Drosophila melanogaster: one gene and its partner. The protein of the gene in region 2 purifies or fractionates together with the protein of the main gene of each other region. This does not show direct contact. Each region holds a gene or a part of one and is shown on either strand. Other genes may lie near its edges.

What was found. Proteins that work in one complex are often made in the same cells at the same time.
Region 1: the proteins of CG6769 (region 2) and Irbp18 purify together in Drosophila melanogaster (affinity purification with mass spectrometry, with the first as the bait; one large-scale study listed by BioGRID). This does not show direct contact.

What each region holds. Positions count from the first base shown.
Region 1 is NT_037436.4:11,096,766-11,100,258, forward strand, and holds Irbp18 (inverted repeat binding protein 18 kDa), read right to left. Parts: upstream 1,422-3,493; 5' UTR 1,377-1,421; coding exon of another isoform or gene 1,346-1,376; coding exon 1,235-1,345; intron 1,108-1,234; coding exon 877-1,107; 3' UTR 681-876; downstream 1-680. Other genes in the region: CG33947 (uncharacterized protein), read left to right, coding at 248-296, 1,327-1,376; APP-BP1 (beta-Amyloid precursor protein binding protein 1), read left to right, coding at 1,920-1,987, 2,045-2,209, 2,266-2,911, 2,978-3,311, 3,374-3,493.
Region 2 is NC_004354.4:17,859,341-17,863,766, reverse strand, and holds CG6769 (uncharacterized protein), read right to left. Parts: upstream 2,766-4,426; 5' UTR 2,604-2,765; coding exon 2,088-2,603; intron 1,930-2,087; coding exon 1,567-1,929; intron 1,494-1,566; coding exon 1,143-1,493; 3' UTR 992-1,142; downstream 1-991. Other genes in the region: mnb (minibrain), read left to right, coding at 1-147; Arp8 (Actin-related protein 8), read left to right, coding at 3,041-3,045, 3,114-3,699, 3,765-4,426.

The DNA of each region.
Region 1 (3,493 bases), on a different chromosome or scaffold from region 2:
TCCATTTCGACACGAAACCAACCACCCGCCAAATCAAATCGCCGTCGAGTTGTGCATCAAATGAATGTGCGAAAAGTGCAGTAAATCAATGTTTTTGTGAGTGTTTGAAAGAAGAAGACGGAAGGAGCGCCCACAACAAAAGCAAAGAGAGCAAGACCTAACGGGACACCCGAAACCAAAAACCTATCGGCACAACGACACTTTCTCAATAGCTATAGTTTTAGTTCATATGTTCATATCTCGGAAAATGGACGAGGTCTTTAGCCTACACATGGAGAAATTGGACGTTTACGACGGTTAGTATCTAATTTGCCGGAAGTTCTACTTAAACGTAGAACATATGTATATGATGGAATCTGGGTTGTATTTCTGATTAATGAGTTCATCAACTTTCAAGGAAATAATAATAGTAGTAGTAGTTGTAAACAGCTGAAGTATTGGGTATAAAATAACACTGATATGGGTAAAATCATAATAGACACTTTATTTGATTCAAGACTCGCATGATTTTAGCTGTATGAATCATGTCGAAAATAATAGAAATCACTATTACTAAATATAGATAATTTTAAAATTTAGATTCAGTGCAACATGGATACAGTGATTAAGTGTTACAATATAAACAAAAGTAAAAGAAAAGTACAACAAAAACAAGTATTTGGTGAGAAATGATAAAAACTCACCAATAATGAAAACCATTTATGTAGGATTTTAACAAACACTGTTCTCGTCTGCATGAGTGCTTGTCTTTGTAATAGAATTCGAGCAATTGCACCATTTTAATCGAAAAACTAAGATGATACACATGGTTAACAACCATGGGAAATGGCTTAAAAGTATGAAAATATAAGAAGGTAAATCAGGAGAAGCTCCTCGTTAGTCATTGTCCTTGGGATCGGGATCTGGTTCAGCGAGAATCTCCTGGATGATTCGATGGCCGTCCTCCGTTTTCTCACCCTGAATGATCAGATCTCTAAGCGTAGATATATGTTTTTCACTCGTCTCGATCTGAACCTTAAGAGCATCGTTTTGCTTCCTCAAATCATCGATGCGTTTCTTACGTTCCTCGGCCGATTTCTTGGTCTTTTCGCGTGTGCGCTGAACAGCCTGTTCCGAGAATAGTAATAAATCAATAGTGGGCATCTATTTTTGGGGACTTCTGGGGGCCACGGCGCCACAGCAACATGTTTCCCAATCTTTGCTCTCTGTTTACATCCAAAACTCTTAAACTTACCTCATTGTTTTTCTTTCTTTTTTCTTTGTACGCTGGATCGTCTGTGTGCGGACTTAATGGCGAATCGCTATTTTTGCTGGTCGACGCGGCAGTTCTCTTTTTGGCCGGCATTATCTCCGTGATAATACTGATATTTATTTAGTTCAAATTGGATCGCAATCGGACGGAAATGCAGAAGAAAACACAGCGATGTATGCGTTGTTTTGTTGTGAAATTACACGATAAAACAGCTGTTCATTAGCCCTCCCAGTGTTGCAAAATGCGCTGCCTACACTGCCCAGCCAACAAACAGTTAGCGGTATTATTTAATTAAATTAATTGCATGTTGAAAATCAATATTAAAACTCACCCAAAACCATAGCCATGGAATGCTATTCAAAAACTGTCAACCAGACACTTTATTTGGTTTGCTCAGACTTTCACTTTTTAATTTCTCAACTGTTTATACATTTTATTTGTAAAGACTGATTGCTTGTACGTAGATGTAGTTTAATGCAATAAAATTAAATGAAATGTAATACGTAATAGTCAATAAATGTTTTAAATAAGCAACAGTTAAAATTACCAACGTGTTTTTTCCAACACTCCACCCAATAAACAAATTGTGTCAGAAGTATTGGCTGCCGGCGCTTTACAGTACTGGATTATTTGCAACCGGCTTATTATTGCACAAAAATCTAGTGAAATGTCCTCGCCAGCCCCCAAATCGCCAGAGCTTTCGGATAAAAGCAAGAAATACGACAGACAAATCAGGTGAGGAGCGTTTTAATTGATAAATTCGGAAGCATAGCACTGATGACACCTATTTAGGCTGTGGGGAGAGCATGGACAGACGCTATTGGAGGCAGCCACAGTATGTTTGGTGAATGTTACGGCCGTCGGCTGTGAAACTGCCAAGGGACTGGTGCTACCCGGTATCGGAGGCTTCACTGTGGCCGATGGCAGCACCGTCAAGGAGGAGGATCTGGGCAACAAGTCGGTAGACCATCACACATTCCCTGACCACCATTATAAAGTCACTTTTTCCGTAGTTTCTTCCTCGATTCCAGCTATCTGGGCAAATCTAAAGCATTGGCTTGCATGCAACTTCTCCAGGAACTCAATCCCGACGTAAATGGCGATTATGTCGACGAGAGTGCCGACTTTTTATTAGCCAACAGACCGAACTTCTTCGACAGCTTCGATTTAGTGATTGCCTCCAATCTCAATGAGCAGACTTTGCTTCTCCTGGCCGAACGGTTATGGGAGCTTAACGTTCCATTAATCTACTGCCGATCGCTTGGCATGCTGGGCACAATACGCTTGCAAATACGGGAACACTGCATCGTGGAGGCGCATCCGGATAATCGACAGTTTGATCTGCGTCTGGAGCATCCATTCGATGCTTTGCGGGAGCATCTCGACGGCACCGAGGTGACCAGTAAGGTGCCCTGGTTGCTGGTTCTTCACAAATACCTTAATGTGTGGCAAAAACAACAAGCGGATGGGACTCAAACGCCTCGAAATTACAAAGAGAAGAATCAGTTGAAGGAGACCATTAGAGAGGAGATGAAGGCGGATGAGGAAAACTATGAAGAGGCCATCAAGGCGGTCAATACAGCCTTTGGAGCGGGACAGGTTCCCAAAAGCCTGAAAGCCATATTCGAAGATGATGCCTGCGAACAGTTAAACAAGAAGGTTGCCCATATAATCTGAATTTATACGTATACTTTACTTTCATTTGTTTTTCTTTTTTTTTTACAGAGCAACGTCTTTTGGATCATGGCCAAGGCCCTAAAGCACTTTGTGATACATGAGAATGAGGGCCATCTCCCTCTGCCTGGCGTTCTGCCGGACATGACTGCCAATACGGACTCCTATATCGCCCTGCAGCACATCTACCGCCAACAGGCGCTGCAAGACGCCGACCAGGTGTATCACAAGTGCCAGGAGTACCTTAAGCAGTTGGCTTTGCCTGCCGACAGCATTGATGAGAGAAGTGTGCGTCTCATTTGCAAAGAAGCAGCCGGACTGGCGGTCATAAGGGGTACACGCATTGCAGAGGAGTACGAGAAGAGCAGTCGCCTGCTACCACTGGGTAAAGATCTATCTATCTATTTTGGAACAACCTTAAATGACTTACCTTTCCTTGCCTTCCAGTTGAGGACAACGAGCTGCAGGGCAACCTCACGGCATACAACTTTGCGCTGCGCGCCTACGAGCGCTTCCTCAGCGAGTGTGGCAACATTCCCGGCGAGTGCATCGTTGAGCAGGACATTG
Region 2 (4,426 bases):
ACCGGACCCGCCGCGCAGGTGGGCATCTCTCAAAGTGTCGGCAGTGGCAGCAGCGGCTCGGCCACCGGAGCCAGCAGCAGCGATGCCTCCTCGTCGTCACCCATGGTGGGCGTTTGTGTTCAACAGAATCCTGTAGTTATACATTAGCATAAACTGGAAGCAAGCAAAGAACGTTGGATGCTCGCTTAAAACACTACTTTTCACGCCCTTTGCCGCTCTCTGCTGCTATTTATTGCACCGCCAACCAACGCCTCCACCCGCCCACAAACCAAGGAACCACAAATTCACCAACGCAGCAGCACCATAGTTGGTCGGTAATCGGGGGTCTTGTCCACACGTTTTTCCAATTTTACATACCATGTACGATGTACTTCGATGTACATATACTACTAATTTTGACGAATAATTGTTAATATTTTCATCTGCGCTTTTGTAAGATCTTAAGTGAAGAAAATTTCTGTTCTATGTAGACAATTTTAAATGAAAATTCTTTTAATTAGCGATTGTGACAACGTGACTTCAATTGGATAAATAGCGAAGATCATTTTGTTTTGTTTGAGTGGTAATAGTCACACTTTCAGCTTTTCCTGAAAAGAAGCTGAGATTCTTGGTTCATTGTAAGACAAGACGCCCGATGAAGATCACTGCAACACAGACACATGTCCAAAATAAAAATACATTAACATTAACTAGCTGAAATTGACCCTCAGGTCCCACGAAACACACGAAAACTCACTCACCTGCGGTTCTTACTGATTAGTCACTTCGAGCTCTCACCGCCGCGCCCACAGCACCGGCCACGCCCCCAGTCGCCCGGGATCGGGGAGGGGATGCCGTGTGGGCGCCTTGATGGATTCGGCAGAGTTTATTTTTTTACACGCTAGAACCTATTTTTTTTTTTGGTCTAATTATAATGTTTAACTTTATGCAGTAACCGTAACGACATACTTTTACTTTATATAAACGAATCAAAATTAAACTTTATTTAATTGTTAATTTAAATTATGTAATTTTATTCGACGAGAAATCGCTAGTAATATAGAAAGCAAACAAATATGCTTAATTTAAGCAAAACTCAAAAACTTTTTATTGTACAAGTAGGGGGGAGGCCAATAGCATTTGGAAAGAAAAGCAAGCGATGATTAGATCAGAACCTGTGCACGATAGTGCTTCTGCAGCTTATTGGCCTTGCAGCCGAGCTTCATCTGCCACTTGGACTGGACGCGCTTCATCAGATGAATGTCGCGTGCCTTGCGGGCGGCGGACAGCTGCTGCGTTTGCGTCCAGCCCAGAGCCCGGTACTCGCTGAGCACGCGGTGCAGTTTGCGGTCGGACTTCTTGATGACGACGGCGCGTTCCGGACGAAGACGCTGCTTGTAGTAGCGAAGCAGGGAGCGATGACCAATGACCGCGCCTGAGGGCAGCACCAGCTGATACTCATCGCCATCGAGCAGATCCGGCACCACCTCTTCGTCAATGTCCATGCCCTCATTCTGTGCGGGTTAAAAGGTTTTCCAAGATTCAGTCAGCATAAATGGAGGTTTGCTTGTGCTATGTGATACTCACATTGTCCGGATAACTGCTGCTGTAGTCGTAGTATTCGGCATACTCGGCCAGCGCCACACCCTCGTGCAGCATCTGGCAGTGGCCCTTGTCGATCATGTGTTTGCGCACGGCGTCCAGGGAATAGAAGGTCTTGCCGCGATCGTTGCAGAACAGGCAGATGAAGTAGTTGGCCACCTTCTCGCCCAGGTAGTACAGAAGGCCCTCGATGTCCGTGCAGTACTCGGTGTCCGGAATGAAGAACGAGTGCGCCACGGACATGTGCTTTAGGTTCTCCACCAGATCCTCGCTGGCATGTGTGCAGAACAGGCAGTCGCGCTCGGTCAGCGGATTCTCGGGTATCTTGTCCCACTCATCGGAATCCACCTGCAAAAAATCAAGTTGTTCTTTATAAGAAGCTGTATACGTTGTAAAGGTGCATATCTTAACCAGGCATAGAATCTCCAAGGAAATCATTCTCAAGGTAACCCTTCTATGAGCAAGGAAAAGTCTAATGCGAGCTCTATCTGCATAGCGCTTCCTACCTCCTCCTCTTCAATGTCCTCGAAATCATCGTCGTCCTCGTCGACCATCTCCTCGTCGTTATTGGCCTTGACCACCCGCTCCGCGAAGGCCAGTCGACCCTTGCCAGCGGCTGCGGCGGCCAGGGCCGGATGGGGCCGCTGCTCCACGACGCTGCGCGTGCACACGGATGTGGCGGTGCTGGCGCTGCCGCCGCTAGCTGTCATCTGCTCGCGCTCGAAGCGGGCCAGCAGCTCCTTGTGCTTGCGGCTGTTCAGGTGGTTGTCGTGCGCCTTCTGGCTGGCGAATTGGCGTCTGCAGGCGTGGCAGTAGACACTTAGGTTCTGCTCCTCGAGTGCCGCGTCCGTGGCGCTGCGGGCGCTAAGAACGCGCTGCTGGAACTCCTCGGCCGTAACGGGCGGCAGCTGGGCCACCCTGCGCTTCAGATTGTAGCGATGCCAGTCGGTCTTGTAGTGATTCCGCTGCACATCCGCGCTGGCGAAGCGGGCATCGCAGTTCAGGCAGGTGAAGTGCGACATTGTGGCGCTGAGTGGATTCGATGATCGCTTGACTGGCACTCTCGTTTTCGTTGGCACTCTGGAATGGCGTATTTCACAATGGAAAGTAAGGCTGCTCAATTTAATGGTGATGATTAAAAAACAAAACCACGTTCTTGACAGTGTGACCAGACGGCACTCACGTCGGCACCATCCACACACAATATACTAAACAAAGAATTTGTTATATGTTATATATATGAGTGCTTTGAATTTCAACAATGAATTAATAGTAATTAATGAAAAATGAGTTTTGTAAATCAGCCCTATTTTTTTATTACTTTAACTTTCTGTTTTTCCTGTGTTCCTGTTTTATAAATGTTCTCATTTGCGCACCACGGTCACATTGGCTTTGTTGCCATTTGTTGTTGCCTCCGATTTCCGCATTTTCAAAGGATCCGGATTTCGGAAAGCAAACGATGCAGTAAGTGAATAAGTAAGTGGTATGTGAAGCAACTAATTTTGCAACTTGGCTACTCTCCCTTCGTCCAGACGATCCCGAGCCAGCAGCACCAGCAGTGGCCGGCATCCGGCGCCGCCGCCAATTGGGCTGCCCCAGCCGCAGGCGCAGCCACTGGAGGCGCCAAAGATTATCGTCATCCATCCTGGATCGCAGCACTTGAGGATCGGCAGGGCGGCCGACCTTAATCCGCTGACCCTGCTGCACGCGGTGGCCTACAGGAGGCGTCCGGGGGCCAGCGATAGGCCGCATCATGATCCGCTGCTGCCGCCGCTGGACAACGTCAACTCAAACTCCGGCCTGATGGTGGAGTTCGAGGAGCAGCGCCTGGTGGTGTCGCGCATTCTGCAGCACTGCGTCGTCGATAACAAAAACCGGTTGCGGGTGGCCACTCCGCCGCAGCAACTGGCCCACTTCAACCGGAGCAGTCAGGCGGAGAAGGTGCCGGCGCCCAGTGGCCAGATGGCGGACGAGCCCTGGCTGGATCGCGAGGCACCCGTGCTGTTCGACGACCGTATCCTGCGACTCGGTGCTGTGGATGCCCGCAACTACGACATCCATTTTCCCATTCAAAGGGGCGAGCTGAATGTGCACAACGAGAAGGGCGGCTCGCTACAAGTGTGTGCTGCGTTGTTCCTCGTAGTTTCCAAACTAAACTGATGAAGCTGTTTTTTTTTTTTCAGGCCAGCATGCAGCACTTGGAACGAATCTGGTCGTACGCCCTGGAAGAGCGTCTGAAGATCCCGCTGCGTAAACTGGGCACCCACTGCGCCGTCTTGGTGGTCAACGATGTCTATGTGCGGCGGCATCTGCGCGAGTTCGTGACCCTGCTGCTGAGGCGTTTGGGCTTTCGGCGCTGCTTCCTCGTCCAGGACAGCGTCGCCTCCACCTTTGGCGCCGGCATTGGGTACGGCTGTGTGGTGGACATTGGCGCCCAAAAGACCTCCATAGCCTGCATCGAGGACGGAATTTCGCAGCTGGATGCCAGGGTGCGGCTGTCCTATGGCGGCGGCGACCTGGATCAGGTGCTACTCCTGCTGCTGCGAAAGTGCGGCTTTCCCTATCGCGAGTGCAATGTGCAGGAGAGCTATGTGGATGCCCATCTGCTGGACGAGCTGAAGGAAAAGTTTTGCCACCTGAACGCCAGCGTTTGTGGCGCCCAGGAGAAGCACTTCAACCTGCGCAAACATAACGGCCAGTGGCTGCGCTACACCATACAGGTGGGCGATGAGGCCCTAATGGCGCCACTGGCCCTCTTCCACACGGAGCTGTTGAACATCACGGGCCGAACGAAAGCGGTTTTCACACAGCAGGCGGTGCAGGACCAATACGACTGCGAGGACTG